Linked DNA regions of Oryzias latipes. The protein of the gene in region 2 interacts with the protein of the main gene of each other region in a pairwise test. Links are inferred from orthologs where the notes say so. Each region holds a gene or a part of one and is shown on either strand. Other genes may lie near its edges.

The links.
Region 1: the proteins of retreg3 (region 2) and signal-transducing adaptor protein 1 interact in binary tests that used the Homo sapiens proteins (3 or more experiments, as listed by UniProt). The two-hybrid records come from large-scale screens. The link is inferred for Oryzias latipes from reciprocal best matches to the Homo sapiens genes RETREG3 and STAP1.

Annotation. Positions count from the first base shown.
Region 1 is NC_019868.2:13,892,397-13,896,916, reverse strand, and holds the start of signal-transducing adaptor protein 1, read right to left. Parts: upstream 3,061-4,520; 5' UTR 2,652-3,060; coding exon 2,550-2,651; intron 1,367-2,549; coding exon 1,295-1,366; intron 1,167-1,294; coding exon 1,050-1,166; intron 925-1,049; coding exon 868-924; intron 463-867; coding exon 281-462; intron 209-280; coding exon 77-208; intron 1-76. UniProt on the Homo sapiens protein: In BCR signaling, appears to function as a docking protein acting downstream of TEC and participates in a positive feedback loop by increasing the activity of TEC.
Region 2 is NC_019866.2:6,743,275-6,747,685, reverse strand, and holds the start of retreg3 (reticulophagy regulator 3), read right to left. Parts: upstream 2,868-4,411; 5' UTR 2,786-2,867; exon of another isoform or gene 2,548-2,785; 5' UTR 2,517-2,547; coding exon 2,269-2,516; intron 1,225-2,268; coding exon 1,118-1,224; intron 899-1,117; coding exon 868-898; intron 793-867; coding exon 666-792; intron 517-665; coding exon 432-516; intron 22-431; coding exon 1-21. Other genes in the region: tubg1 (tubulin gamma-1 chain), read left to right, coding at 3,790-3,838, 4,167-4,279. UniProt on the Homo sapiens protein: Endoplasmic reticulum (ER)-anchored autophagy regulator which exists in an inactive state under basal conditions but is activated following cellular stress.

The DNA.
Region 1 (4,520 bases), on a different chromosome or scaffold from region 2:
TTTTTGTCCCATTTAGTTCAGTTCTAAGTTCCACACTCAGAAAAGCTGTGGGGGGGGGGGGGGTAGGATTTCTGACCTGGCCGTCCGCTGTCTGAGGGTCAGGGCATAGTTGTTGGGCAGGGTTGATGGGCGGAGGATGATGCCTCCGTTTTGTGGGTTCTCCTCCAGCATCTGCTCAGCCTCCTTTCGAGTCACATCATAGAAGCATCTGCAGGTTTAAAGGAACCGATGTTTACCTCTCTATTGGTTTTCCGTTCAGACGGGAAGTCCTTGAACTTACTCTGGCATTCCCGGTTTTGTGCTTTTAGGAGAATCGGTCATGGACTCAGACTGCAGGAAAGATGGTCGGGGTGGGAGGGCTGGACGAGAATGGTGTGAAACTCTTTTTTTCTCTTGTTTCAGAGCATCCTCCAGTTTTACTCTCTGACCCGGCATCAGTTCCAGCTTGTTGGGAAGCTCTTTCTGCCGGAACACACAAACACAGATCATCTGCAAACTGTCTAGACATTACAGCAGTATTGTGGGAGACTGGAGCACCTTTTTATCAGAAAAAAAAACTACCAAAGGGTTTCTAGAAACCTTCATGATTATTGTAATAATTATTGGCTTTCAATAGCACTTTCTATTCCCCTTTACAAGGTAGAAGTTCCCCTAGTTTGTATGTTTTTAAGTGTATCTTTTCTTGAAGTACTGTGAGCCAAACTATCATCTAACCTTTAACCAACACATTTTTTTCTTCTGATTTCATAGTCAATCATTTATTACCAAAAAATGCAAAACATGTGCAGTTAAACCAGTTTGAACTTGGACTGTTGGCAGTAAATGTAACTTTATGTGTAGATATATATATATATGAGCATGTGTTACTTTGGCCATGGTCAAGATGTAGCCCCTCCACTCCTCCCCAGTGTCGGCATTCTCCATCTGCAGATGTATGCATGGAAAAAAAAAACACAGAAGTGATGGGGGAAAAAAAATAAATAAATAAAAAAGCTATTTAAAATTGACCCTAAAGTTCAATGAAATATTTCACAGTAACTGCAACAAACCTTTAGCTGCACCTCCTCTTTGGGCAGAGAGAGGATAAAGACAGTCTCCTCCTTCTTTTTGTAGGAAGACTCCAACTGCATGGTTTTCAGCTGTGACAGGTCCATCTTTTCAGTGTACTGTGATAATCGCAAGCATGAAAATGTTTTTGCTATTAATCAGGCTTTTTATAGTTTTACACTTAATTAAATCTTTTTTTTTACCGTTTACTGATCAGAAATGCTAAATAATCTGGGTGTTTTCTTACTGATTCCTGTGTGTCATCTGTGTACAGAAACAGAGAATCTCCTCTGAGCTCCACATAGTAGGGCTTGAAATCCTGAAAGTTGCAAAAACAATTTCAACTTGCTGTGGATGACCTTTAAACAGTGAGGGTGATTAAAAAATGTCACATGATAGAAGAACCAAGGGGTCCTCAGATCTCAAACATAGATAAATACTAAATTAACTACAAATGATGTAAAGTCTCTGTCATGAAAAAATGTATTGCATCTTCGTTTTGTCAGCCAGCTCTGGCCTTATGGTAGAGTGTCCGCCCTGAGACTGGAAGGATGTGAACTCCAGTCGAGGCTGAGTCAATCCAAAGACTAAAAAGGAGACTCAATGTTTTCTTGTTTGACACTCTGCATTATTGGAGGGTTAAACCACCAAATGGCTCCTGAGAGCGGCTGTGTCTGCAGCTCACCGCTCCCCCAGAGGATGGCGCAAATGCGCAGAACAAATTCCACACACCTACTGTAGGTGCAGCTGAAATGACTTTAACTATAGAAGGAAATTTTCAAACTATTCAGAATCCATTTTTTTCCACAAACAAGAAAATATTTTATTTCAAGTTTTAAGCTTCCATTGATGTTTTGTCTATATATATATATATATATATATATATATATATATATATATATATATATATATATATAAATCCTATATCCTAAAATCCTAAATTCCTTAACTCTGAATCTACTTGCAAGCAAAAACATTTGTGATTTTTTTGTTTTCTGAGCTGTATATAAAAATTCTGATATATAATGCATACTGTCATGTTAAAAAAACACGTCACTTTATCTCAGATAGCTAACTCTTGTGATTCAGGTTAATGTTTCAGCAACTAACAGGCCAATAATGTCTGCAAACAGGGAAAGCGGAACAACCGAACACTAAGTTTTCTTGCAGTTGTTCTATAAACTAAACTAAACTAATCAGACTGAAAAAGTGTTTGAGAACAAAAATGAGAACAATTATTGATGTGAAAGATATTGATGTAGATGTGTGTATCTTTGGTGTTTTTTTTTTTTTGTGGCAATAGGTAAAGACAGAATGACAAGGGTTGTGATTTATCTGAGTTTACAGTTACTGACTCTCTGGATCCAACATAGTCAAGATTATTTTTGAGCCTCAAAGCCAACAATTGAGGTACTTTAATTTATGTGCCATAACAATAGGTGGATTTCACAACTATAATCTGTTATCTAGACTGACATTAGCACATTTGTCTTTACTCCTACCTTATCTTTGGAGCGTTTCTTCTGCATGCGCCCTTGAAAGTAGAGAGGCAGAGCAGTGATGGTCTCCCTCCTTTTGTGGACAACCCTGCTGCTGAGCGACATTGTCCAGTTACTGTGTAATCCACAGGCTTCCTCTGTTTTTTACTGTTGCTCCGTTTACTCCTGTTTTTCTGAGCAGAACAGTCGTCACGAAGAGTTCGACTGATTCCTGGGAAAGGGTTGTCTCAACCGTTTTAGTTCTTATCTGAGTTGACCCGTGACTTGTAAGCCTCTGTTGATGAAATTGCCTCCTTTCCTATACTTTCTTGCACTGTAAGGACTGGGAAGGAGGAAATGCTGCTCTGATTTACGAACAAGGAAGTGGTGGCATGAATACTCCCAAATCAAGATCTCCTTTTGTACTTTGAACTACAGCAGAACTCAAGACACTGACTGTTTTTGCACCACCTACTCAAGCAACAAAATCGTGCACACACAAACACACTTTCCTGTTTCGGGTATTTAAGAGGACACGGGACACACTTTTTCAAATGGCTCCTCTGTTTTCAGACAAAAAAAAGAACGATATTAGGACCTAAAGTGTTGAAAGGATTTTCCTCCCAACGGTGTTAACTATCCCCATAAAATGTGACACATACAGTAACTCCAGCTCCAATCAGATTAATCATTACTTTCCTTTATCTTTTTTCAAAGTTGTCAAATTATTGACCTTTAGAGCATTGAAATAAAATCCTAAGTATTATCTTTGTTTCCTTATTGTGTTTAGCGGACTAAACCCTCCCTCCACCACTCACATCACATCACTTTGATTCAAGCCAAATTCAAATAATCTGACTTTTTCCACTTTATGTGGAGCTTTTTCTTCAATGCTACTGCCTGATATTCCACTTAAACCAGGGGTCTTCAGCCTTAAACAGTAAAAAAAAAGTAAAAGTAAAAAAATCTAGAAGGAGCCTAACTTTTACCCTTCAGGAAAATTTAATGCTGATTTGCTGGCATTGAATTGTGACTTTTAAAAACAAATGTGAAATTGTGTCCAGCAGGGACATTTTTGACATGAAAAAGTCATATATACAGTACAGACCCAAGTTTGGACACACCTTCCCATTCATTTGAATAAGAAGGTGTGTAAAAAACTTTTGGTCTGTACTGTATAAAGAGAAACTAGTATTTTCCTGAGATTTTGATTTTTACAATTTGGCAGAAGGTTGCATGACGTCCTGTTAAAATTAGATGCCTTGTGCCAAACAGGATCATCCCAGTGCAGCTCATGTTCTCCTAGACAACACAAGACACTAATGGCAGGTTCTCTTGTTCTCTGGTGAGCCGCCATCCTTTTTCCTACTTAATACTGCTGTTAACCCGAACATAAACAGGAATTTGCTGGTTTATGATCAAGGAGAAAAGCAACTCCCCTCTGGATAGCTACTAACCATGTTGTGCAGCATTAGATGATGTGTGTTTTCAACTGATAAAATAAACGGAGTAATCAGACTTTTTACGAAAGGTTTCCTAATGAAAATCTGTGTATTCCGGAGGCGGCGTATAGAGCAAACACGGGCTCTAGATGTTAGCAGGAATGCAAAAACCTTTATTTTACTTCGAGGTGCACCTCAGCATTAATTTATAAACTAAATCTGAATTGGATGCTGATTTAGTAACCCTTGCTTTGAAAATTTTGTATTATTCTATTTATCTTCAGCCACTATGGAGAGAAAAGAGCCACACGTGGCTCTGGAGCCTTATGTCGGAGACCCCTGATTTAATTGCTGGTGATCTGCATTAATTACTTTTTTCAAGTGCTTACTTATTAAGAAAAAACAATTCTCTTAATTTTTTTCTTCCTTACTCTTAAACTAGACACATACTGGCAAGCTTCAGAGACCCTAACATGGGGGGTGGGGTTATGGGATTGTGGGGGCGATGGTTCATTTGCTTGCATGGATGCAGACACCGCTGAGGACATGCTTT
Region 2 (4,411 bases):
GAGCCAGGAGGATGACCAACACTGCCAACGAGGGAGGAGGAAAGTCATGACACTTATGGTGATATTTAAGTGTTTTGCTTTTGTTTTTTCTATAAAATCAATGAAGATCTACAAACATGTTGGGTTTGAGAATACAGACAGGCGGACAGCTGTGGACTGGCCCGCCCTCTGCAGTCTAACACCAGCTCCAGGTTAGGAGATTAACCTGCTGTCCGCCTGACCTCTTTAGATTCCTGTCCTCTCCTCCTCCTCCTCCTCCTCCTCTTCCTCCTCCCTGTTTTAATCACTTCGTAGGCCAAACCTTGTGTCGGGGCCCCACAGATCTGGTTTCACTCATATATTTTTCATTTGGCATAAAATGAGTTTCCTGCCAACAGTGTAGCAGCAGGGCGTGACCGGTAGTTAGGACCGGTAAAACTGCTCGGACTCACATGCAGCGTAGGACAGTACCAATCCAGAAATGTAGCACCCAACCACGGCCAAACAGGTGAACAACCCGCAGGTCAGAACGCAGAACTGCTCCAGAGAAGAACACAGAGATAGAAGTCACTGCCTGCACAGCACGTCACCCATGTAATATTCATTGAGGGAATGCAGGTGGATCAACTGAAGCAGTTCACATGAATAAGAGGATTAAATACATGGTGCTGGGCGGTAATCCTTACATTGCCAGGGTTTCGTTGTTTGAATTGAACCATGAAGCACATGAGAACTGATCCGCTGACCCAGGCCTCTGCCAGGTGATGGCAAAGCTCTGGTACACTTAGGATGCCGGGCTGCACCAAGGCCCAGCTGCGGAAACAGACATGTTGGACTGAAGCACTTTAGCGAACAATGAATGCTGCAGAAGAAATAACAGAAACACACCTTTCATTTTCAGATTCATCCAGTTTTCTGACTGTAAAGAGCAAAGAAACAAAGCGTTACAACTGAGAGGTATGAAGACACGTGGATTAGAAAGATTCCAAAGTTCCCCAAACTGTAGTTTGGTCATTTTCTTTCTTTATCGTTTGCCGATTGATGTTCCACTCGCGCATTTAGTAAACATAGATTTTAACAAGCATAAAAAAAGGACATTCTGAATATAAAGAACCACAATTTGAAGAGAAAAACACACCTCTAATCCTTGGCCAGATTTTATTCCTCCAGGTGTCAAAAGACACAAGGACAGCAAGCGAAGAGGCCAGGATGAACAGCAGACGCATCGATGTAAAGGCAAAAAACCTGGAACCGGAAGCATGCAAATAACAGCGCTTTAGCTGCCTGTTTCCTTAAGACTATGCAAAGAATTAAATCAAATTTAAAGAAGAAAAAAAAAGCGCACAATTCAATTAATGGTAAAAAAAAAAAAAAAGGAGTGATCATTGGTTAGGAGGGGTTTCCCATAAATAAAGTTTTGAATCAACGACAAAACCACTGAAAGAACTAGTTGTTAAGCTACAAAACAGAAAAAACTGCTCTTTGTTTTTGGCTGAGTAAGACTGCCTGGGATCTAAACACGAGTCTCTGTTGCTCTAATTTCAGATCTCAGGTTTTCACAGAATTGTTGGCAACAACAATGCTGCAGGATTCTGCCAATCCTCAGATTAATCCCATTAAGACGTTTCTGGTCAACAACTATTAGCCTTTTGTTGTTTTTTGAGCATATTTTTTGGGAAGGAAACCCCTTTTTGTTTTTAAAGAAACATGGTTACTTTTATTATTCCAATGTAGAATCCAAACACTCATCATTTAAGAGATTCATTTTCAACGTGGTCGAAGATATATTTAGTATGGAGTACATGATAAAAAACAAAAATAATAGAAATGATGTGTCAAAAACGTGTTCATAAACAAGATTTTTCCAGAGATTTCTGATTAAACAAGAATGAACACTAACAGACCCCAAACTTGTGCCAGATCTGCACACTTTAACCCTGATATTTGACATTTAAAATGTTAAGCTACTGCTCAAATCTTGGATTTAACCTTTTGATTTTTAAGTTAGCAATTCACAACATCCATATTTCAACAGAATAGAGTCTAGGTTACAGTTCTCAAGCCTGTCTGTTGCAAAACACATCCTTTGTGAAAAATACTGGACTAATATCTCAAATCAAACAAGTTTTGGAGCTATTGAACCACCTGTTTGATGTTTTACTGACAATTGCAACACTTTTACTGTCATCTACTTGCTTTGCTGTCATTTTCACCTGTTTTAAAGTTTATCTTACAGGAAAATGATCACAAACAAATTTCTAAAAAAGTGTATTTATTTGTCAAACTCACCAGAACGCCGTGTTTACAGCAAGAAAGAACAGGGCGCTGTGAAGTGGTCTCTCCCACACCAGGAGAGACTGCAGGTAGGTCAGAACGGGCTCGTAGGGCCCCAGTTTGGACTGAAGTTCTGCTTTCACGACCCGAACTCGGGCGTCTCTTTCGCTGGAGAATGGTCGACTTCGAAGGCAATTGCTTGAACTCTGAGACGCGGGACGATCGTCCATAGGGGCGCTTTCCATCGCTCCAGAGTACGCCATCAAACTGTGTCTGCTGTGGAACACTGTCAGTCTGTAAAAGAGAGAATTAAGCTGAGTGGAAACCGGTAAACAGCTTGATGAGGGGCTCCGCCGGTGACAGAAGAACACAAGCTAACGGCTATCAGTGCTAACAGTGAGCGACCACAACTCCGCACTGATGTTAATGTTACAACATTTCTCTTACAGCGTTAAAAACAACATTATACAAGGTCTAAAAATAAAGTTTCAGAGAAACCTGACACTAATTATAAAATATATATCTAAAATACATTTTGTGGTCGCTTCGGAAAATGTCAACATGGCGTATCTATTCCCAGCGTCGATTGATCCAATCAGATTTCAGGAAAGCAGTTGCGTCACAGTGCGTTCAGGTACAAAAGTGCAGACTAACTTCCCAGGCTGGGGCAAAACCTCAAGCATATTTTCGTATGTTTAAATGAACTGTAAAGCTCATTTATTTAAAAAAATATATATATATTTTTTCTTATTACAATCATTTATACTTGTCTTTTTTTAATTACTTTTATGATAAGCAGAGCAGACTTGCTACAAATGTATATGGGACTTTCTACAATTCATTAAAACTCTGGAATAAACGATTCATTGGGTTTGTTTTTAATCTCTTCTTATATGACATATTTTTTTTCCTCAATCCTTGTAAAATAAGCCTCTTTATACTTATGTATGTTTATGCATGTCAAAAAAGATTACTGAAACTAATTTGTGTATCTGTCTATGCTGTTTTGTTGGACCAAAAACCTATGACGATTTATTATTACTATTGATGGTAGTAGTAAGGTTTGCTTGGTCAAGAAACACATATCATGTCAATGAAAAAATATTGTAAAATACTGTTAAAAAACTTAGTGCCTATATGGGTTTACTAAACTTTGTTTGAATTAATTAAACTTGTGGTCACTTTGTGGCACAAAATATAACGTGCTTATCGATTTGACGAGAAAAATCAAACCGGAAAAAATGCATGGCCCCAAAAAGATTATAACCAAAATGGTATAAATTGTTTTTAAAGAACAAATTCGAAAGAGAAGATTACCATCTTTAAAAAAAATGTATTGTACTCCAACACACTAGGGGGCAGCACCGAGCGTGAACATTGTCCCATGAACATCCGTAGAAGAATTCAGCACGCCAGTTAGCGGGAACGAGCGGGTTGTTGTTGTCGCTGCTGGTCAGGGGAAAATCGGTGTAACCTGGGGGCTAGCTTTCATTATTTCGCTAGCAGACAGGCTAGCAAAATAAAAAGCAACTAACCATGCCGCGGGAAATTATAACTCTTCAGCTTGGACAATGTGGCAATCAAAGTAGGTCATTTTTTTCATACCCTTAAGTTAAGTTTCTGAACCGTTTCCTTTATATTTTGTTCGACGACTCTCCACCATTCGACCTAGACAGTTAGGTTAAATCTTCTTAAATGGTTCTTGGACCTTTCAGCTGAACATCTCTTTGGTGGGAAATAACCGCAGTGATGATGCTATTCCGGCTAGCTAACGGCTAACATGGTGTCCAGAAACAGTATAGTATAGGTAACAGTAGCTGTCATTCACAGAACAGCTGCGTGTTCTCAAACTAGAAACTGTTTAGTCAAAAACGAATGTAATCTAATACTAATTCTCCGTTTTCGTTTTGCAGTCGGGTTCGAGTTCTGGAAGCAGCTGTGTGCTGAGCATGGGATCAGTCCTGAGGGAATCGTGGAGGAGTTTGCAACTGAAGGAACCGACAGAAAGGATGTCTTCTTCTATCAGGTGAACGTTCACCAAGTCAAGAGCACGGGTCCTACCCGAAACAAATAATTACAACAAAAGGCAAGATTAACCACAGGACTGAGATCACAACAGGTTTAGGTGCACTCTACCAAAAAATAAAAACGTACTTTT